Arabidopsis thaliana: one gene and its partners. The protein of the gene in region 2 interacts with the protein of the main gene of each other region in a pairwise test. Each region holds a gene or a part of one and is shown on either strand. Other genes may lie near its edges.

Region 1 (6,854 bases), on a different chromosome or scaffold from region 2:
GGGCATTGGCAAGACACGGCCGAGCTGCAGAATATCTATAGCCACCGGCAATGGATTGACTAGTGTCCCTTAAGTTCCGTGAAGTTAATTAAGAAAATAGCCGGCTTTACCCGGGACACATATGCATACTACTCAACTATTTTTTTAAAACAAATATTTTAACAAAGATTTAATGCGTTCTAAATCCCAGGGCATTTTTGTGTGTTAACGTCTTCCGCAAGGTACCTCCGACCAGTGACCAACCACCGTTCTATCGCCAACTTTAGATTTCGAGGGGTCAATGTCTGTATAGATGGCTTCAAGCGGAACAGGGGAAACTTACAAGTTACAACACCTCTTGAAAAAATTTATGTACTCGAAATTTCGGGTTTGATCTTCTCCAAGAGGTTCCCAAAGTCAAATAGTGCTTGGAGGAACTAGTGAAGATTGACTGCAAACATAACCGCCCACACCTCAGAAAGTCAGAGATAATATTTCGTGATACTTCATGAATGATGGAAACTTGGGGTTTAATTAGGTCCCAAATTTTTCGGTATATGTGATTAAAAGGGTTTAAAAGTCTTAGGTAAAGAAACATTAAAAGCCAATTCGGTTTTATTGTTTGTGTTATGTTACTAGAGTACCTTACACTATTTCGTGTCTTTGATCTTAATTTTAAATCGCATGGATGATCCCTAGCTAGAATAATTGTATCATAAGCAAAATGATCAAGAGTGGGGCTCACTTGTCTAATGCGTTTTTTGCAGCATCTCTAACCCTACTCTATTTTTTCTCTAAAACTCTATTTTAGAATACATTGGCTTCAACTTCTCTCTATATGTTACTCTAAAATATAGTAAATGGTAGGATTGTTCTAGATATATAGTAACTCTATTTTATTTACACTGCCTCTATTTTAGAGTGATACATTGGAAAGAAATCATGCTCTATTTTAGAATTACATTGAGATGGTCTCAATGATTTTTTTTATATCTTATGAATGCCATTATGACTTGTGATCTGTGTGTGGATATAAGTAAAGTCTAACTATACAGGTGGGGTATTAATTGATTTCTTGATGATTTTTATAGTTGATATATATGTGATTATTTTTGTCTAACTAGCAGCTAGCTATGAGAACATTAAATTAATTTATTGTCTTATAACCGAGAAGAGTACTATATACTTCTGTTGGCCCGGTCTCGTTGGTTTCTCTGATGCATATTGCGTAACGGGTTTTGGTGTTTTCGTGGAGAGTTAAAAGCGGTTAAGAAAGAGCTTCACATACATGATCAGTGATTAGCAAGTTTTGTTGCCTCGCAATTGGTTATATGAGACATTTTAAGAATGCTAAGTGGTTATTTGATTTTCTTGTTTTAGTTGTATGATATTTTATTGTATTGACATGGATTACTACTGTGTCTCTTTGTCTAGTTTTTGTTTTGTTTTTTGATTGTGTAACCAACTACCCAGTTTTGCAGTTAAGATTATATGGATTAATTTAAGGCTCACTCAAATCCGGTCAACTATTCTAATCTTCTTTGTAGATCAATGATTAATAATGGAATCAATTATGATTAAGTAAAACACAATGAAACCATTGAATCAAACGTTCTTACAGAAAAAAATACTTCTTGTTTTTCCTCAGCAAATAGTTTCCTCAAAAACCATTACCTTCCATGGGCGCCTCCTTCTCCCTCTTTACCGACGTTGGACCGATCCCGCCTCAGTATCAAGTGTTCATCAACTTCCGAGGCGAAAAACTTCGTGATGGGTTCCTAGGGTTTCTTGTGGATGCTCTTTTAAAAGAGAATGTCAACGTTTTTATAGATGATCATGAGCTTAGAGGCAGAGATCTTGATCATCTCTTCAGTAGGATCGAGGAATCGAGAGTCGCATTGACAATCTTCTCCAAGAACTTCACCAACTCAAGATGGTGCTTAGATGAGCTTGCTAAGATCAAAGAATGTGTGGATCAAGAAAGTCTTACAGTGATTCCTATCTTCTTTAAGATGAAAACAGACGATGTGAAGAAACTGAAGGGGAATTTTGGAGACAACTTCCGGGACCTGAAGTTAACGCATCGCGGCGAGCCTGAAACTTATCGGAGATGGAAAGATGCTATACTGTATGTTTCTAAGAAAACTGGCTTGTCTTCGTCACGATACAGGTCTGGACTTTGTCCCTTTGCTTATGTTCTTTGTTGGAAACTTGGAATACTCTGTTTCTTGACTCTGTTCTTGGTTAGTTCAGGACATAAGCTTGTTCACTGACAGATCTTTTGAACTCTGTTATGACAGTCGCCAGAATGATTTGGTCAACACAATCGTCGAGGAGGTTAAGAAAGTTCTAAACGATATCGCCGAGATCGAACGACAAATTGCTGAAGAGAAGCGCAACCATTTGGCGGCAAGAACAGATGAATTGATTAGACTTGTTGTCCGGTTCCTAAGTCTGTTTCTTCTTTTTACAATAGTTTTTGGTCCTTATGTTTTAGGCCTTCTCACTTTTTTCTCTTTTCTTGTGGGTCGTTTGATAATCAATCGAGCTGTGGAAAGTGAGTGGTGAATGGTAACGTTTGCGTTTCTATGAGAATACGTAAACGCAAAGAATCTGAGACTGAGAGTTTCATTTTGGTTACACATTGTTGCATTCGATATTTTTTTCTATGAAATAATTTGATTTCGATTAGTTTGACCTTGCATCAATTATTGATAAAAGTGATTACGATTAATAACACTATCTCCTTTATAACCTACCACCTAAGACTTTTGGTCAACTACTAGATCAATGAGACTTCCACATGTTTTATTTGGTTATGATCTTGAAATAGAAGAAAAAATACAAATCTAAAGATAAATGTTTCTTTCAAAGTAACCACTTTTCACTCTTTTGCTTTATTTTTCTTGTGCAAAAAGTTCCCAAAGTCTCCGCTTCTCTATTCCAAACAGTTAAAACCCAAAGAAACACATAGTCTCTTCGCTTGACCAAAGCTCAAAAAAAGGTCAGAATAATTCATATGAAGTTGTTGAGTGTCCCTAAAAACACGAGATGTCTAATGAAGTCATCAAGCAGCTCGGTAGTCGTGGTCGTGCTTGACCAAAGCTCAATAATGGATCCAGCACGACCACGACTACCGAGCTGCTTGATGACTTCATTAGACATCTCGTGTTTTTAGGGACACTCAACAATTTCTTATGAATTATTATGACCTTTTTTTGAAAAAAAAGTAGTTAAATCTAAATATCTAATACAAGAATAGTTTAAGGATAGTTTACATTTGTTCATTGAATATAGATGAACAAATATCTAAATATTTGTCCTATATTTCCAATTTTTCCATAAAAAATAATAAAGAAGACAGTTGCCAAGAGTTGACTTTTGAAATGAATTTTTCCTAAAAAAGAAATAAATGCTTTGACTTTTGAAATGAATTGGTCCAAAACAAGAAATGAATCTTTTACTTTTCCAGCTTCTTCTTCTCCATATATTCATGAAGAAAAATTAAAGCAAGAAAGTCTCAACTCTCAACCCTCCCATGGCAGAACCACCACCGTACCAACGTCCTCCTCAAGTATTCATTAGTTTCTATGGAAACGAATCGCGCGACAATTTCATCAAATATCTTGTGTGGGGATTGAGAGACGAGAGAGTCAACGTTTTCGTAGACAGAGCAGAAGCAAATAGGAGAGACATACGAAATATTTCCACAAAGATCGAGGAGTCGAATATCGCGGTCGTCATCTTCTCCAAGAGGTATACAGAGTCAGAGATGTGCTTGAACGAGCTTCAAAAGATGTACGAGCACGTAGAACAAAGCAACCTTAAGGTGATACCTGTCTTCTATGATGTGAGCATAAGCGGTGTAAAGAACCTCGAGGATGAATTCGGTAATCATTTCGAGGAACTGAGGGAGAAATACGCAAACGATCCACTCAAGATCTTGAAGTGGGAGGATTCATTGAGTTCAATAGTAGAGCGGACCGGCTTAACCTCCGAAGACCACGGGTAATTATTCTTTTGATGAAATTTATAAGTAGTGAAAACACAAACTGTTTTGAATTTTCTATGAATTTTTTTTTTAGTCAATTCTTGTTAATTTGTTCTTAGGAAGACTACTTATTTGAGCTCATTTAACGGTTTCTTCCTGACATATGTTTGCAGAACGGGTTTAGGTCTTGTGAGGGCAATCGTCACGGCGGTTAAGAGCGAGCTAATGGACTCTGAAAGACAAAATATTACTAAAGGACAAGTGTTTGTTTTGGCTTCAGCTGCGGTTTTTATCTGTAGTCTCATTGTAGCTCGTTTACTATGCACTGATGTGAAAGTTAATAAAGCTGTTAAGTGTTTACTAGGGTTTCCAGTTTTGGCTGGTATCTTGCACCAGCTTTACTGTCTACGGACCCAACCAAACAGATGATGACCTCTTGATTAATCACCAACTTGTGGTCAAATGGCTTTTGATACGATTGGAGAAGCAAGTAAAGAAAAGAAAGAAGCAGAGGCAGTCAACACCGTTGACTGTGTGTGTTGACTGTGTGATGAGCTGGGAAGGAAAGCAAAGTCTCTGGGCATGACAAAGGGTTTGCGGTTGCAGGCTTGGGAGTATAAATAAGGAGAGATATCGATTTAGAGAATCTATGCTTATTGTTGATTGTTGTTGAATTGTGTGAGTCTTGCATGAGAGACTTGAGAGTTGAGCTAGTGATGTGCTAGTCTCTCTCATATGGTGTACTGAGAGCTGACCTAGTGATGTGCTAGTCTCTCTCGTGTATGGTGTGTTAGTGTGTACTGGTTTGGTTAAGGAATCGGAGGTATCGATATTGGAAACTTAACAGTTTTGCACTGTTTGGCTATAGATTACATCTCTGTTTAGTTGTTTCACTCTTTATAGTTTGTCTTCAAAAACATTATTTACCCGACCCATGACCCAGGATTTAGAGTATTTGGATCCATTGAGACAATAATGTTGTATAATATTAAAGAAAGACTGAGGATAGGCGCAGACTTGGCATCGAGCCACTGATTGGTCTGAAGAATTAAAGAATCGTTTCTCTGTAATGTATTTTAAAGGACAAAGTGAGACAACAAAGTCTCTCACCAACTATATTCACTATTTTTTATTCAGACGAACCTAGACACCATTCCAATGGATGAGCAGGTCCAAGAACCTCTTTCTGATCAGGTGTTTATCAACTTCCGAGGAGATGAGCTGCGCGAAATCTTTGTCAACCATCTAGAGCTGCAATTAAGAAACGCAGGGATCAACGTCTTCATAGACACTAAAGAGCAGAAAGGGAGAAGACTACAATATCTCTTCACAAGGATCAAGAAGTCAAAAATCGCGCTTGCTATCTTCTCCAAGAGGTACTGTGAGTCAAAGTGGTGTTTGGATGAGCTTGTGACGATGAATGAACAGATGAAGGAAAAGAAACTCGTGGTGATTCCAATCTTCTATAACGTAAGATCGGACGATGTAAAAAGAGCAGCCAATCCCGATGGAGAAGGCAATCTTGATGGAGAGTTTTCCCTTCCTTTTAAGCAACTGAAGCAAAACCATGCAGGGGAGCCTGAGAGGGTCGAGGGTTGGGAGCGTGCCCTGAGATCTGTGACAAAAAGAATAGGGTTTTCCCGGTCAAACTCAAAGTACAAGTAATACTTCAAAATACATGTATTCTTGATTATGTTTGGATCTATGCCCGACTGATCTTTGATTAGTAGATCTCTTTGGTAAGGAGTTTTCCGCAAATCCACCAAGGCACCAACCCACTTGACCGAGCGATATATGCCGAAACTTGACCGCTCGAGTTTTCTTGATGATTCTTGTATTATTGATATAACCAAAAAAAAGTAAAAACCTACTTGCATCATCTTCTTCTTTCTCTAACTCATGTTATAATTTTTTTTTTTGCAGACACGATACCGATTTTGTTTTGGATATTGTTAAGGAGGTTAAGAAACAGCTAAACATACCAACTGACAACAGTTGGTCAGCTATAGGAGTTGCTTTCTTGGCTATAACCATCAACTTGATCTTTAGTTTCTTCATTGCCCCTAAGTATCTCCCTGATCAGAAGTTTTTCCAGACTCCTGAATGGTTCATAGGTACTCTGGCAGTTGTTCTTGCGTCGTGGTTTTGGTACAAAAATAACCAGAACAAAGCACCACCTCCTTCATAAGTGGCTTTTGTGCAACTTTATGCTGTTTGTTTGTGTGTTGTTTAAATGGGGTGTTAAAGATCATTTGGTTGCTTTGTACATTTGTGTGTCTCTTTGTTAATAATTGTGTTGTAATTGTCAGTTACTATTTTAAAGAACAAACTTGTGCTTTGTATTACTCTGTTTCTGTTCTCTGTGTAGGCTCTATGACTAGAAATTCTCATTGCCCTAAAAGTCTTTTGCTTCTCCATTGGTTAGCTAATAATGTAAATGGTTGATTTCATCACTTGTGTGGTGGTCTTTGAGTATTAGCAAATTAAAAGATAAAATGTACCTCTCTTTGCTTGAATCTCTCTTGATATTTAACACTCCCAAAGTCAAAACCCACCAGGAAACGCGCATTCTTGATCAAACCCTTGACCCGGAATTAGAGAGTGATGTGGTTTCTCTTGTTGTTCCTATATAAAAAGAAAAGGCTTAGAAAGGCGTACTGAGTCATGTATTTGGGAAAAAACGAAGAACAAAGAATGGTTCTAGTTATAATTTATAAGGACTAAATGATCACATTTCTTTACCTTTCCAGTCTTTGATTCATCATTAATAATGATCACATTTTGTTGCTTAGCATGAGCTTGCTAGGCATTTAACCTTACTAGACACCATGGATGATCCCGGTTTGGTTTGAGCATAAACAAGAACATTGAGGGTCACTTCCAT
Region 2 (8,645 bases):
TTAACTTTGTGTTCACGGAAGGAGAGTTTAACGGCAGCACCGCTGCGTTGTATGGACGGAATCCGATACTGCTGGAGGAGAGAGAGTTGCCGATCATCGGAGGTACCGGCGATTTCAGGTTTGCTAGAGGATATGCACTGCCAAAGACTTATAAGGTTGTAAATATAGATGCCGTGGTTGAGTATAATGTCTTCATTTGGCATTAACTTTTGGGATTTGTTTATGTAATTCGAAAATAAATTGTTTCACTTTGCTCTCTTTTTTCTTTTGGTTGTGGATCTCCTTAATAGTTTAAAAGGTTTAGTTTGAAATAAATCTCGACTTGAGATGTGTAAATGTATGTTTGGACGTGTGAGTGTCTTCGGACGAAAGGGACGGTGTAGCAAAATTTTGGTTAGTGAATTGTATGTATGTTTTAATTATGGTTGTTGTTAGGTCATGAATTCGGTTCGATCAGAATAAACCAGAACGGTTTGAATTTGGTTTAGATATGAAAATTTCGTCAAATTTTTTTTTTTTTTTTTCTGGCCGGTTTCAGTTCGAATAACAAAAAAATAGTTCTGATTAAAATACTATAATTTGTGGAAAAGAGAGTACAATAATCAATTTATCTAAAATGACTTTATTATATAAGATATACAACATATTCATATATATTCACAATATATGATTTAAAATTCCAACATGCTCTGAAAAGGTTCAACTTGTATAAGACACAATAAGTTGTATAATTTATAATAGTCAACTTGTAAAAGCTTGACCCAATAAAAGAAAAATCTTGACCCTTCTTCTTACACAATACTCTTTTCTCTATATGGAATCTTGATCACTTCTTTTTTTGGTATGAAATTTTGATCACTTCTTCTCGGTTACTTGTATGATTTTGTTTATGGGCCTTGTCCTTTGTGTGATGTAGAAGGCGGTACAAAAATTGGAGGGGCCATGGAACGATGAGGAGGAGGAGGAGAGGGATGGGAAACGCAATCCAAACGCAAATTGTTACCTGCACCACATTGTATGATTAGTTTCTCCAAACAAAAAAAATCTATAAATATAATAACAAAGAAGGTGAATACAAATATAAGTTATATAACAATATGTATATAGACGAGACGAGACCTATATTATAAGCATGAAAATGAGTGTAAAAAATACTAACGTAGGTTGCGTTTGGCCTCGCCTAGTCCAACTTGTGAGGAGATAGATAGAAGCAGAAGAAACAAAGAGAGAAGAAGAGCAACTAAATTTGATGTTTTTGCAGCCATTTTGCTAATTTAGTGTTCTACTCTCTCTCAATTTCATAACAAAGACTAGCTTCAGGATGATTTATATAATAAAAGCTTCCTTGAAATGTAAAAGGCTAAAGGATAAGCATCGCTGAAATGTACTAGTCGCCAACTACATTTCTATTCAACGCGCCTTTAATTTTCCATACGAAAGTCTCTTGGCTCACGTCCTGTTCTGTTTAAATTTATTTCTTCCACCTACTTAGGTTGAATTTTAGACAACTATACAAACCATATAGGATATATATTTTTGTCATATAGCCAAATATTTATCTGTGAGTACAATTTTTTCGTGGTTTTGTCACAAATTGTTACGAAAACAATGACAGTGATTAAGTTCAATCCGTAGTCATCTCTGACCAGTACTAAAACACGACATAGTCATAACATTTCTTCGTGATTATGACAACTGATTTAGCCACAATTGTTTAAGGTTAATTGGCAACAGATTTATAACTTTCAACTGCAATGGTGATTTAGCCACTGAAAGTAGTGGAAAATTAGCTATGATAAATACATGGCCAAACCACTAGAACCGACAACATATATATATAACCAAATACCGTTAAAATATCTTAAAAAGTGATATGATCGAAAACGTAATTATATGAAATCACAATACAACATTAATCTCGAGTCTCTTGAGTCTTGACAATTATAGTTTCTTCTCCATCACTTGTCAAAAAGTACTTTGGCTTATGGACCTTTTCCTTTGCGCGATTTAGACGGCGGCAGATATATAGGGGCGGTGGGAGGGCGAGGGTAATCATAATCCACACGCTGTTCTTGTCCTTGACCTGCTTATTAACAATATATATGTCATTCACCATAAGCTTTTAACTATCTACATATGATTTCTTCTTCACATAAAACATAACTTTTAACTTTTCTTTAACATATGATTATATAATGAAACATGATCTAAAAACAATACATCTACAAATCCAGACAAAGATTTTTCATGAGGAAAAAACAGATTAATCTTCACAGTTTTACATAAGAAGAAAATGATGAAGATATAAAGATGAGAGACTGATAGAAAGTCATTGGATATGTAAGCTTCTTCTTTCAGAAAAACCAATATATAGGAAAGAAAAAGATCGAATATGTACTAACGTTTGTTGCGTGTGGCGTCGGCGACTCCAACTTGAAAGGATATCAATAAGAACAGAAGAAGCAAAGAGAGAAGAAAAACAACTAAATTTGATGCTTTTGTAGCCATTGCTTAAAATAAGTTGTCGATCAAAGTCTCCCACAAATTCAATATATAACGAAGACCAGCTCCTCTGTTATTTAAGAAAATGAAGCCTCGTTGAAAGTTGTAGTACTCACGGGTCCCTTGTACCCACTCACCTACTATATCCACTCAACGCACTTACTTTCACTTTTACTTACGTCCGCAAAAGAATTATGCCCATTTTTTTCAATTTTTCTATAGACTATATAAGAAGACTTCATTGTATCGAATACAATCTATGTTACAAATTAGGCATTAGATTATTGAGAAAATTGCTAAGTATATGTATGTGTGCCGGTTATTGAAAAACAAGGTATATTTCATCCATTGGTAACATGACTCTACAGTGTAAAAATAAGACCAAAACTCTCATCAAAGAGACAAAACGAACATAATGAATGTTGAGCTAATCAATAACAAGAGCCAAGCCCCACTACCGGTCTTCTCTGCTAGACCAGTTCCCATACCAATCACAACTGCAATAACCGCAATAATGCCAAACCCTAGACATACGGTGAAAACCGTTAAGCATTTCTTCTCCATCCACTCAAGTCTTTTACTTACTTGCTCAAGACTCTGTCTTATGTTTTCCTTCTCTTTCTCTGCTTTCTCCATCTCTGCCTCCACTCTCTTTCGCCACTCTTTCATCTCCTCTGCTTCACTCACCATCCCCTCTTGCCTTTCCTTCATACCTTCCAAGTCAAGTCTCAAAGCCACAATCGCCTTTTCTCTCACACCGGCTTCACGGTCCATCTCCTTGAATATGTTCCCGTATCTCAGGTTCAGTTCCTCTAAGTATCTCTCTAGAATCGATAGGTTCAAGTCCAATGACCTTAACTTCTGCATCAGTATCTTCAGTACTGTGTCCCCTGGCATTCTGCTCCCTGGCTGATGATGCCTCATCTCTTCCACGGGCTCTGACAGCTTATTACTACTCTTCGCCATTGATGCTTCAGTCTTCGCTAACATATTCTCTGGTGGGGCTTCCTTCTCTTTCTCTCTGTGCGTGCTCTTATCAGCACCATCATCGCCTTCAAGTGACTCTATTTGCTGCATTGGCTTCTCCTTATGCTCAGAATCTCCTTCTCGGGGTTTGTATGCATTTTTGTTGTCCTGGACAGATATCAAATCCTCCAGCATTCGTTCTACGGCATCCACACCGTAGACTTCTATTAAACTCAAGGTGCAGTAGAATTCTGAACCATAATGACTAATAAAGTTTAGCTTTAAGTATCTCACCCACTTTGGCTCAAGAAGTGTGAAGTTCTGCTCATGCTTCACGTTTGAAGCCGTGAAGTTTCCCATATGAACCCAGGTATCAGTGGGATAAACTAGGGTGCCTTGAAGCTCAAACTCTTTCAGATTGGAAGAGTAATGCTCAAAATTCGCGATCTTGATGGTATTTACCAAAGTTTCTTCTGAAAGTTCTACAACAACAAATTTACCTTCAGTAGAACAAGGATTTCTGAGGTACTTGTCATTGTCCCTGCTTAGGATGCTTGCAGCCCCCTTTGCTTCCTTGTTGGAAGACAAGACCTTTGCGCCTTTTGAAGCAGATGCATAATTGTACTCTTTCCCTCCAGGCTCCATCCTGTGAATCACACCACTGACCTGATCTGATAACGATTTGTTTCGAGAATTGGACGCTCTGCTCTTGAACTCATCAAGGCCAAGCGGAACCGCACGAGATGGTTGATCAACCTTTGAAACGTTGATCTCGGTACCATTCCCTAAAACTGTTTTGTTCATCTGATTTTGCTCCAAGAACTCATTGTCACTGCTTTCTGTATCATTCCCTGTGCCTGTCTTGTTCAATTGACTTTGCTTCAAAAAGTTATTATCGTCTTTGCCTTCTGTATCATTCCACGTACCTGTATTGTTAATCTCACTTTTCTTGGGAAAGTCATCATATTTGCTTCCTGCATCAATCCCTGTATCTTTCTTATTTATCTCACTTTGCTTCAAAAGGTAAGTGTCCTTGCTTTCAATATCATTCCCTGAAACTGTGCTACTGATCTCTGCTTCCTGTTCTTTGTCTTCACTTTCTTCAGACAGGTTTACATCATCATTCCGACTCAAATCAGACGTAACATCAACAGAAGCAGACGCTAAGGATAATGGTCCATCAAAGGGCACAACTTTCTCATCTGACTGACCATCATCCGGATCAGCCATTCCCATAGAGTCGTTCAAAGGCTCATCTACAAGTACACAAGAGTTGGTTCTTAACATGCTTTAAGGTAATAAAACGACAATGATGTCCACCAAAGAAAAGAACTTGAAGGTTACCTTTGGCACCATCTCCATGACTAATCAACAAGGTGGAAAAGAAGAGAAGAACCCAAAGGAGAAAAACAAGAGACAAAGAGACTTTGTAAAAGCTGTTCCTTCCATTAAACTTGTTCACAGAAACTCTTCTTCTAGTTCTACACGACCTTTGCATTGCACATCCACTAAACGATTACACAGGACACGCCCTGTTACCAGCAAATACACATTAGATGTCAAAGTTAATCAACTTATAGTATAAACCCAGAAAGACAAAGACTTTTAATAAACTCAAGCTGCAAATAAGGAATTTGAGTTCCAAGATCTGATTTTTTGGTGCGTGGATTACACAATAGACCGGAAAAGTGATCGGAGAAAGAAAGAATCACCTGAGAGAGAATCGAAGAAAGAAGATATGTGTGATCAGCAAACAACCCAGAAGAGGAGGAGGATTGGGTACGCTAACGTAGACGTCTCCGATGAGTCTCTAATGGATTGAATCTAGGCCAATGATTTTCCGGCGATATCTTTCGTCTCCGCATCACTAACGACGAAGCGTACACGGTTCACCAGTTTCGATGTTTCTGGGAATCTATATGAAGAAGAAGAATCACACGAGGTTTTTAACTGCGGCGGTGAAAGAAGAGTCAAAGAGACTTCAAATTGACAAAAATTTTGATTAGAGAGAGAGGCGAAGAAGAAGAAGAAGAAGATGGATTGGTCCAGGGTTTACAAATTTCGGCAATTTTATTGATTGATTGATTTTATTTTAGTTTAGGTTTATTCCTTTTTACGGAAAGTTACAATTTCCGAAATTTTGTGCTCTGTGTTTATCGTTTTCCATACATGTATGTTGAACTCGTAACTTTAATGGATTTCATAAAATTAATTAGAAGTGTTGATGAGTTAGTTATAACAACACAATTTAGAATTGGACAATGATGTTAAGCCTAGAGTTCTCTTTTGAGTTTTGGGTTACTATTTTGAAGCAAGTTTTGAAGACTAATAAAAAGGTCTATATATAAATATTTAAACAAAAAAGGTCTATAGAATGTCAACTTCTTAATAAAATTGTGAACTGATTATTGGGACTATATGCCTCGACAAAATAAAACACTTTAATTTCGGACAGGGAAAACGACAAAAAGGTAAGTGGAAAAAAGAGAAAGAAGGAAGATGATGAGCTGTGATTTGTGCGGCACGTTAACGTGAAAGCCAGCTTTCGATTGTGTTCCCTTCACAGCTGGCGATTTTCAATCCTTCTTCTTATACGTCGTTTTATACTTCAATATATTGTTTTATAATCTTTTCGGTTTAGTTAACTCATCTACTGGACAAAATCATTCTTCATCTTATTATATCATCGATGAACCAAATGAAAAAGTCTTCGTAGTGATTTATTTAGCCAATAATCCGAAAGTTACATATTCAGGAAACAACATTGTCACTGTGATGGTAGTTTTATTGGAAGCATGGCGTAAAACTCGCTATATAAGTTCGACCATTGCCAAGTTGATATTGATGGTGTCACTTAGTTTCGAATCATTAGTCGTCTCGAAAAAGGGTTAATTACACCACATAAGATTAATCCCTCTGTTCAGTTCCGTAACCACTTAAGAGCCAAAGATGGGCGTTTCTAATTAGTTCATTAATGATGGACCTAAAAGCCCATTAGAGTTTACATCTGAAATAGCCTTACCCATTACGCGGTAAGGGTTTTAGACTAACCGATTTATCTAACCAACTTTTCAAATCAAAGCAACCAACTTTAAAGTGAGTGGCGATTTACGGCGATCGGCTGGCGGCGAAATACGCCAATGGTCCGACGAATGCGGCGTTGATGTATGTAGCTGGCTCTGATCGGGTGTAATCGTCTCTCTGGTCTGGATACTCATCGTTTTGATTCGGTCCTCCGACAATTGCTCCGGTTAATATGTTAGGGTTAGGGTTTTGTGTTCTGAATGATTGGAATCCGCCGTTACAGCCCAGAGAATTGGAACGGACGGCTCGGCTCGGGAGAGAGGAACCTCTGTGATGGATTCTTTTGGGGAAATTGGAGCTGAATCCAACCATGTACGACATCTTCATTGGATTCACACCGAGGACGTAATCGACTTGTCGCTTCGATAGATTTATCAGTGCGTTGGGGACGATTAGTGAGTTTCCGCAGTTGAAAGTTTGTTTTGTGGATTTCATATATTTGGCGTAGGTGGTGAGCAAGAATGTTATTGATGTCACGTATTGTAGATTGCTCTGAGGTAGTTTGTACATCAGTCCACCTGAAAGTTATAGCTTTTAGTATTTGAGTAATTGAAATGCTTTTGGAGAGAACTCTGTGTTGAGTTTACCTTTAGTGTACTTTGTTGACGAGGATGGAGAATTTGGAAGGATCTTACACATGAAATTCTCAGCTGCTTGCTTGTAGAGTTCAAAGTTGTTGTCTTTGTTTAGTACTGCTCGCTGCGAAAGAAATGTGTTTGTAAATCATTGAAGGAAATGGTTAAGTTATGTCTAGGAATTTTAAGGATTGAGACATACTCGTGAGAGAAGAACATAGGCACCGGCGTATTTATTGTCCCAACTGAAGATGTCAGGCTGATCTCCTCCTCCTAAGGATTTTATGAAGTTTGTGTAATACGGGTCGTTGGTTGCTCTATGTAGCCATGCTGCTCCCCATAGTAGCTCGTCCTGATATCATAAGAGTAGTTAAGTTTTCAACGATTCATTGATATGTCTTTCTCAGTTTTGGAACAATGTAAACATATGAATCTCTACCTTGTAGCCAGAGTAGGAGCAGTAGAACGGACAGACGGAAGAGGAAAGGGAATTACTGTAAGCGCCTCGGTATTGAATGGCAAACTGCATGACCTTCTTTGCTGTCGCCAAGAGCAAGCGAGAGTACTTGGGATCTACTTTCCTGAAAACCATGGAGCTTGCAGCTAGAGCAGCAGCGGTTTCAGCGGCTACATCAGAGCCAGGGTTTGAGGGAGATACAGAGTAGACTGTGCGAGGAGTGTCCATATCTTCTGGTCGTTCCCAGCACTTGTGGTCACCATTAGGATCTCCTACTCCAACGTAAAGCTTCCCTGGTGTAGCCCTGGCACATTTCAGTAGATAATCCGTGGCCCAACGGATGGCCACACGGGAGTTCTGGAGCTCGGGTCCCATCTTCTTACCGTACTCCAAAGAGCTCCAGGAAAGCATGGTTGTGGTGAACGCCATCGGGAAATTGAACTTCACATTGTCCCCAGCATCATAGTAGCCTCCGGTCAAGTCCACCTGCAACTCATACCGTGTTATTCAGATGGATTTACTATGCTTTTACTACTTGACTATGGGTATACAGTTTTAGGGTCTTACGTGAGCAGATGAGCCATCAGAGAGGCCAGAGCTAGACCTCCATGAGAGTTGTTGGTCACTAGGGAGGCGACCAGACCGCTGACCTTGGAAAAAGAGTAATGACTTTGAGAGTGCTTCTCTGTAATTGGGACTTGCATAGGTATTCTCCAGTGAAAGCGCAGAGAGAAGGAACACAAAGAAGAAAGGAGAAGCCATTCTTGTTATTGTGTTGGCTTGAGGGTACGACTTTATCACACACGTATATATATAGCTAGAGAAGGAGACCGGGGCTGATGAGATTCAGAGCGAAGATTATGGCTTTTTGAAATTCAGCTTAACTGCTAAAAAAACTGTTCTTAGTTACTTCAATTTGAATTTCCTTTTTAATTAATATTTTATAGAACTGACAAGTGGAGGATTACATGTATTATTCTGTAATCTTCTTAATATGTTCAATTTTTTTTTAACTAATAGTTTGATTACCACATAGGTTTGTCTATATGAGTTCACCGACA
Region 3 (7,985 bases), on a different chromosome or scaffold from region 2:
GTATATGTCCTCCTACGATGCTTATCTATTCATACATGTATGTCCAAAAAGGCTTTTGCATAACCTTTCATTATTCATGTTTGAATTGTGGTGAGTGGTGACCATACAAAAATTATTATAAATCATCGATTTAAAAACTCTGTTTTGATTTTTTCTAAGGATTTATGATAAGAAGGCATATATATATATATATATATATAATGTTTTTGGTATTTCCCCAAATTCCTATTCTTATATCTCTATGCCAACCATTTCAAAAATATGTAATGTCTTTACAACTAGATTATTAACAACTTTATAATAATATGTAAAGGAATGTATAAAAGCTAGTATAAACAAACAAACAAAAACGAAAAAAGAAAAGAATTAGAAACAAGTTTTAATTAATTACCTTAATCAAAGTCTCGAGCGGTTCGCGATAGGTTGAGTTCCCACCACCAAGAATCTTCCCTTTGGAGGCTTTAAACCTCTTCAGGTTACGGTTAAGTGCGTGGCTCACAAGTCCTAACGAGATACTGTAAAGGCGAGTGAGATTCCCCATCGGCGAACCAATCGCGGCGGCGAAACCACTCTTAGCCTCCACGAGTCCGTCAAGACACGTCTGCTGATTCGTCACTACACCACTGAGAAGACTGTTCACATGCTCGACGAGAGCTGCCGTCATCACCTGCGCCGTCTTAAGCTCCGTCGTGACGGTTTCAAGGTAGTTCACACTCAGCTCCGATAACTCGCCGCAGTCCGCCACCGCCCCTATTTCCTCGGCCGTGGCCGAGCCTGGTTTGCTTTCCACGCGCCGCGCGTAACTGGTGATGACTTTGGATAGACGGCTTGCTTGCTTGAGGCATTGCTTTATAGTGAATTTGCCGTAACGGTAAGGATCTGACGGTGAGGATTTGACAGCGTTGAGGATCGTACGGCAAAGCTTAGGGTATGGAGTTGACTTGCAAGCGAGAGAAGGTGACTGAGACTGTGACGGAGGCAAAGAAGGTGGCTGTGACGGTGGCACGAATATTGGTGGCTGTGACGGAGGGAAGAATGGTGACTCTACCGGAGGCTCAAAAGGTAGCTGTGACGGAGGCTCAGAATGTGGCTGTGATGGAGATTGTTGTGATGAGATAAGCAGAGCACATGAGAGGAAGATAAAAGACAAGAACAAGAGAGAAGAAGTGAAGTTTAGTGTTTGCATTTTCATCCTTTTTGTTTTGTTTGTGTATTGATGGTGTTTGTTATTTTGGATCTAAAATCTGCTATATATATAGACTATACGAGGAGCTTTCTGCTATTTAATGAATGCATGGGCTCGAGGGAAACTGAATTTATCATTTATGTAATGCATGTTGGTCTAATAATTAAGGGTTATACTCGTTTTGGTCAAATGAAGAGTTTTTTTGGAGCCGGTGGTCCACCGTCACGACGACCAAACATGGGTTGACTTGGTTAGGAAAGGTTTCTTCATGTGATTTAACCGTAAAAAATGGCTATTTTTAGAGCTTAATTTTGTTTAGCTCAATTTGTTATGCCAGTTGACACTGTAAAAAATTAACATTAATCAGACATGTCAAAGATGAATTTGTATTTAATTTAATTTATAATCAAACAAGCTGTGTTGACTTGGAAGAGGGTTTCATATCTATTATTTGACCGTAGATTTTGCATGTGATGTGTTGGGAAGCTTTTAGACAAGGCAAGACGGTGCAGCCTAGAAGAAGAAGTCGTCACTTTGTCGATTACGCAATTCACACTAACAAGTTATGGTCCATCTATATACACACTCTTCCTATTCATCACATATCGTTGTAATACCAAGTACCCAAGGTAACCATTAATAATCCAAATTCAATATTTGTTTCAACTAATGAAATATGTATACTCTATTAGAATTTGTATGATTTGTTTTAGGTGAAAGCTTAAATTGAAACTCTGTTACAAAACCAAAACCGGACATCAAACTAAGATCTATATTATTCAATTCGGAGGATACATACCCTGACCAAATAAACCGAACCAAAACAGATTTGAAGCTAATAATCACGAATACAACCAAATGATTCTGATTACAGACTAAGAGAAGCTTTCCCACCACATAAACTAACACAAAAAAAGAAGAGAGATATCTATTAGAGGGAATGTTACAAAGAGAAGAAAAGTTTGACGTGGACTTTCAGATCAAGCATGAGCAACAGAGACTGAGTCTAGTTCACGGCCATGAACCCTGAAGCGGTAGATGCAAGTGTGTGAAGAGCTTCCATGGTTGGAATTGAAGTCTAGCCTGACAGTGTTGACAAGTCCTGAGTGAGCAGAGTCTGCAATGTCGAATGTCTGTGCATTGGACCTGTCTAAGTCGTAACTGAATTCTGTAAGAAGGGGCATTGTCTCAGTCTCCATATCTATGTCACCTAGCCATCCTGATACACGGCAATCCTTTGGGGCGCTCGATCTGTCATATGCTACAGCCTGTTCGATTAAATGGTGCATAACATAACCGTAAGATTAGTATTGCCTTTTAGTGGTCAGACAAGAAGAAATTTATCAGACAAATGATCACAAGGATGAACAATGATGGAAAGCAATGTGTGACCATCACATTACACACTCTTGAGACTATTTCCCTTCAGCTACTGTTTCCTAAGGATATCCGTAAACAGTGAATATTACAGTTCCACTAATTGTAAACTTACAAGCTCTTCCCATACATACGGTTCTTTTCTCTGTCAACGATGTCCCAAACAAAGCACAACAACACAGTGGCATTGATATTAGACAAAGGAACTGCTAAAGCTAGTGATTTGCAGAAAATAACAATAGGTAAAATCCTCCTCAATGCATATTGTCACAGCTAGTGCCTAAACTAAACCTCAAACTATAAGAACTCAAATTCACAAAACTAGTTTCTTGCCCTCTATTCGATAACCTATTGTCACCAGCAATCCAATCCGAAGTACAGGGCATCTCAATACCAACAACATTTAACAGAGAACCCTTCTTGAAGGCTCAAATTAACATATAAAAATCAATCATTTTGTGAAAGTTTAGTATTGAGATGTTAGTACTACCTTAGAGACATGTTCCAAAGTAACAGCTTCTGGAATTATTGGTGCTCTTAGCCTGACTAGAACATATCCATTGCTTCCTTTCAGAGGAAAACACTGTCCAGGCTCCCCGAAACTCGGAGTTAACATCTTAACCGCTTTGCTATGAACCCGTCTCCTGCTTGTCCCAAACCAATTACGCCCATTTCCAACAAGAAACGGATCCGAATGCCCCATTACAAAAGCTCCACCAGACGCTAACGCATAATCTACTCGACCAAGGCCATCTGCAACATGTTTCCCTATCTCTTTCTCCACTATGTCACGAGCATAAGCCCTCAGTTTATCAATGTTAACATCAGAATCACCGACCTTACCCTTCTTCAACTCCTCGTAAACTCTCTCTAACTCCTCTCTAGACACCAAAGGTTTAGCATTTAACTCATCTACAGAAACCTGTAACCTCTCTGTCTTAGACTCTACCTTCTTCAACTCACTATGTAACACAGAAGATGTGGAATCTATCGTCTGCCTCAATGCTCTTGATTCACTATCCATCTTCTTATCAAGAAACTCAACTTGAACCTGCATCATCTTCGTCGTAGTCTTCACCAAACCATCAACTGCAGAAATCCGACTCTCCAATTCCGAAAGCACCATTTCCGTTTCAATTGGGAAATTCGAAGAAGACAGAGACGAATCCTTCAAAGTCAATTTCCTAATCAACTGAATCAATCCAACAAGTAACAAAAGAGCCCCAAATTGCTTCGCGAATACCCTAACCACTGTCTTCCATTTCCCTCTATCTATCTTATTCCCCTGAGACTTCCGCGTCCGACGCTGCGTGGTGGTTGTATTAGTCCCCGTCGCGGTGGATCCTGATTTCCTTGTCACCGGACCTACGTCGTAGGTGTTGGATCTCTCACCGGCAGCCTCGGCGCGAATCAGATCCTTGTTCGTACCAGCAGACGACTCTCCAATTGCCGCATTGGCATGAGATTCGCTCGGCGGGAAATCAAAATTAGATTTCTTCTCACCGGAGAGAACCGGCGTCCGCCTTATTGTCCTAGGACTAGCGGTGATTGACACCGTTGACGCCGACATGATCTTCAATTTTGAACTACAGAATTCGAAATGCTCTTCCTTATGAATAAATAAACCCTAATTTTGACTACAGAGAGAGAGATTTGAAATGGAAGAAGAGTGAGGAAGTTTATATAGGAGAGAGATCACTACAAAATTCAATTTTGAAAATCTGAATCGTGTGTTCTTCAGTTTCGCCATTTTTATTTGTTTTGATGCTCCTCCATTTTTTTCAAAATTCATTATGATGGGCTTTTAAAAGCCCAATAATGGAAATAAAATGGCCCAGCCCACTTTCACGCCTCGTCATCTTCTTTTATGCTAAGAAGAAACTGTTGCTTCATCATTCTTGCATATCAAGATATCTAGAGTCGAGATAAGCTCATGATTAAAGAAAGTAAATTTATTCACCAGACTATTATTATATATACACAAGGGTACGTTATAAGCATTTATGGAATGTAATTAGATTTGAACCACAAAGAGACTTTTGACATGAAAGTTGATACTTCCTTGTCATTGTTTCTCTTCACACAGTGGTAGTTTTCTGATGGGAAGAAGAATCAGAGATTGGCATTCTTATCTTTGCAGATTCCTTCAACAAATCGAATGAAGAAAAGGAATGTGGCGGGAGAACAACGGTCATATCCTCCTCTGCCAACTCTAGCAAGCTTTCATGTGGTACAACCTGCAAATAAAAACCAATAAGAACATGGGAACACTCAGAATTTGTGATGATAATGATGTTTCTTCCATCTCTTGATTTTTACCTTCTCTGGCTGTGAGAAGGAATTTTCATCCATCACATTGGTAGAGGTAAGTACTGTCTTCTTTGATCCCGAAACTCTCATCACGTTCGGGTCCAATCCAGTTACCAACACTTGCATATTTTCTGAGTTAGCTCCGAAGTTTACAGCCTGCAAATAACAGATTTTGAAACAGTTTTTTAGGGTCAATATCAGAGCTCCGGTTGAATCTTTCACTCGGTTTACCTTTATGCGTATGTAATCTTTGCCATTGTTTTTCCAAGAGATAGCAGATGCAACAAGAGAAGTAGAGTTTCCCTTGAGTGTTGAAGTGAGAAGAGTTGCTCCGCTTGACTCTGCAAAAAACCGTTGAACCCAATAGCTAGGTGTTCCATATAGATGAGAGGAGTTGAAGACTATTGCATCAGGGTTCCACCTGAAACCAATTTAACAATTTGAGATTATTGCCTTATCTTCCTGAGTAACCATTCGAACGGAAAAGTAAGTGAGAGATACCGTCTATCATTTGTGTTCACAAAGAGTGGAGCATAACTTGCCATTTCAACAATGTCACTGCAAAAAGTCATAAGATGTTTAACTTATTTGATGTTTTTAGTTGAGATCAAAGCCTGGGAAGAGAAATTCAAAGGGAACCTATTCTTTTCAAGACCAATGAGAAACGCAGCTTCTGCAAGAGAGGCAAGAAGGCTTCCTGTACCAGCATCTTTTCCAGTAACAGCATATTCACTGACAAAAGCCTGTAAACAAAGTTCACGAGTGAGTAAAACGCTGAAAGCTTCATCTTGTGTTTGTTGGAATTAAGTTTTGTTATAATCTATTACCGCACCTTTGGACCTTTGCGTGAAGTGCGATCAAATTGATGATACATGGAAAACAAATTGCTAGCAGAAGTGTAAATCTGTGACAAAAAGGAAACACTTTTTTCAGGCGGAAGAGAGAACACAAGACAACGGTTACAGTTTCTGTCAAGATAGAAAATTTTACGTGATAGTCATAGTAATCAGCTGGGTGGTCGAGTGGATGAGAGGATCCATCGCAGTTGGAGATGATTTTGATATCTGGATAGGCTTTCTTGATAGCATCATAGAACACAATGTAGTTTCCTGTAAAGTTGTAATCTCATTTAGTGTCAAAGATGCTCAACAAAAATCTAAGTCAAGATGTGATCATAGAGAAATGCAAAACCTCTGTAGTAAGTTTTCCCACAATCTTCATTTCCAATAGCAACGTATTTAAGTTCAAAAGGTTCTTGGCGTCCCATTTTAGCTCGAACAGATCCCCAAGTAGAATTGGCATCTCCTCGGGCAAACTCGATACCGTCGAGTGCTTCCTGAAACAAAAAGAGGAGAAAGTTTTGGTTTTCCGGCTTCTTCACTAGTGAAACAGAGGAAGGTTTAGTAATCATACTTGAACAAAGGGCATGATACTGGCAGTTTCAACTTCATCATTGTGACTTATCCCTGCACAAAGTAAAAAATAAGGTTGACAGAATTGGAAGACAAAATGATATAAGTCAGTTACAACTAAGTTTTTGGAGAGTGAAAGAATACCGTTGTTAAACACCCATATCGGGGCTGCACCGATGTCTTCTGCCATCTGCAAGAATGTTCATTTAATATTCAATAACGAGCTTCGGGGATCATTATGTACTCAATAGAAAAGAAGAAGTCTCACTTGAAAGAACTCAAAGTGGCCAAGGCCATCATCGGTCCAATACTTCCAAACATCACCAAAATGGCCCGGTCTCTCTTCCCAAGGTCCTACGGTTTCTTTCCAGCGGAAGGCATTACTTAACCATTCACCCTCGACAAAACAACCACCTAAATTCACAAATATCCAGAGTAAAGAATAGACTTTAGCTTATTTCATCTTAAGTCATGCTTTTTGTCATATTGAACTAAGAGGTACGTCTATGGATAGAATAAGTAACAAAAATGCTACTAGCCTTAAATAATACGTACCTGGGAACCGGATGAAACGGGGTTTTATATCGGCCATCATTTGGAAAAGATCGTTTCTAAAACCATGTCCCTGCAATCAACCAAAAAGATCGAGTATTTGATAGAGTTCTTCTTCCAATATTTTCTCTATTAGCAATCTGTAATCTTCCATCTCAAGGCTCTACAGGGAATCAGAGAGAGCGAAAAAAGAACCTTGTGAGTATCCACTGGCATGGCCGAGACTTGGTCAATCCATATTGACCCTTTCTTGGTTGTTGTTAACTGAAGTCTTGCACTAGGATCGGTCGCTTTTGCCTCCAAAAGAACCTCTTTTTTAATCCATTTCGAAACATCAGAAGCAGAAGCTCTACATTGAAACAAATGAAAGCATACAATTGAAACTTTCACACACTGAAACAGCAAAATAAACATATTCAGACTTAACTGAAGAATCTGAAATTATTTCTCACATGATCTTTTCAGAAGCAAGAGTCCGTGATCCATTCGAGCTCGTCAACGACACAGACAAATCGATATCACCAGTCGAACGCACATAAAGAGCCACCTTGTACTTCTTTCCTTCTTCAATATTCTAACAGAAGATAGAAAATGAATAAACAGCTAAACCCATGCTCTTGACACCGAGGGAAACAAAAAACCGAGCTGTAAAGTGTTCACAATTTGACACTCACCATGCCCCAGTAACCAGGGTTATAAACTCCGACACCTCCCGATGGACAACCTTTGCTATCACAAAGCACATCCATTCTCAGTGCGATTTTATTCCGTTCAAAACATGATGAACGGTCTGTAGCTACATATATGGATGAATGATCACCAACAATGGACCATGGCCAAATATTAGAGGGTGTGTTTTGCCCACCAGCTTCAAACCCTGGAAACCAAAGTTTTTCCTTAAAAGTTACTACCACATTTTTTCTCATCATGTAAAGAAAGAAAATGAAGCCAAACAACGATTGATTCCCATGGATTTCAGTAGTAACAAGCTAAAAAAAACTAACCTCTGTTGCTAACAAGTTCGGCCCATAATCCACCGGCACCAGCATGGTTGATCTCCTATAATGAACATAGAGCATATAAAGTTTATGATTGATTTGAACACATTGCGTACATTGCAAAGATCTATTTGAGACCGTAACATTAAC

The links.
Region 1: the proteins of AT1G22882 (region 2) and AT5G44920 interact in a protein complementation assay, tested with the Arabidopsis thaliana proteins (one study listed by BioGRID).
Region 3: the proteins of AT1G22882 (region 2) and SUN2 interact in a protein complementation assay, tested with the Arabidopsis thaliana proteins (one study listed by BioGRID).

The regions. Positions count from the first base shown.
Region 1 is NC_003076.8:18,133,837-18,140,690, forward strand, and holds AT5G44920 (Toll-Interleukin-Resistance (TIR) domain family protein), read left to right. Parts: upstream 1-4,938; 5' UTR 4,939-5,128; coding exon 5,129-5,631; intron 5,632-5,893; coding exon 5,894-6,158; 3' UTR 6,159-6,354; downstream 6,355-6,854. Other genes in the region: AT5G44900 (Toll-Interleukin-Resistance (TIR) domain family protein), read left to right, coding at 1,659-2,149, 2,280-2,547; AT5G44910 (Toll-Interleukin-Resistance (TIR) domain family protein), read left to right, coding at 3,518-3,987, 4,144-4,399; ARAD2 (Exostosin family protein), read right to left, coding at 6,790-6,854. UniProt on the Arabidopsis thaliana protein: Could play a role in nuclear morphology, specifically nuclear size.
Region 2 is NC_003070.9:8,095,471-8,104,115, reverse strand, and holds AT1G22882 (Galactose-binding protein), read right to left. Parts: upstream 5,725-8,645; 5' UTR 5,181-5,724; intron 5,001-5,180; 5' UTR 4,967-5,000; coding exon 4,813-4,966; intron 4,725-4,812; coding exon 2,896-4,724; 3' UTR 2,652-2,895; downstream 1-2,651. Other genes in the region: AT1G22900 (Disease resistance-responsive (dirigent-like protein) family protein), read left to right, coding at 1-206; AT1G22890 (uncharacterized protein), read right to left, coding at 888-1,003, 1,160-1,265; AT1G22885 (uncharacterized protein), read right to left, coding at 1,983-2,086, 2,403-2,508; CEL5 (cellulase 5), read right to left, coding at 6,577-7,070, 7,140-7,251, 7,330-7,479, 7,567-8,070, 8,152-8,346.
Region 3 is NC_003074.8:3,356,390-3,364,374, forward strand, and holds SUN2 (SAD1/UNC-84 domain protein 2), read right to left. Parts: upstream 4,314-7,985; 5' UTR 4,134-4,313; coding exon 3,054-4,133; intron 2,455-3,053; coding exon 2,167-2,454; 3' UTR 1,899-2,166; downstream 1-1,898. Other genes in the region: AT3G10720 (Plant invertase/pectin methylesterase inhibitor superfamily), read right to left, coding at 392-1,192; ASD1 (alpha-L-arabinofuranosidase 1), read right to left, coding at 4,642-4,800, 4,883-5,029, 5,105-5,294, 5,375-5,431, 5,513-5,616, 5,706-5,777, 5,864-5,982, 6,065-6,209 and 8 more. UniProt on the Arabidopsis thaliana protein: Component of SUN-protein-containing multivariate complexes also called LINC complexes which link the nucleoskeleton and cytoskeleton by providing versatile outer nuclear membrane attachment sites for cytoskeletal filaments.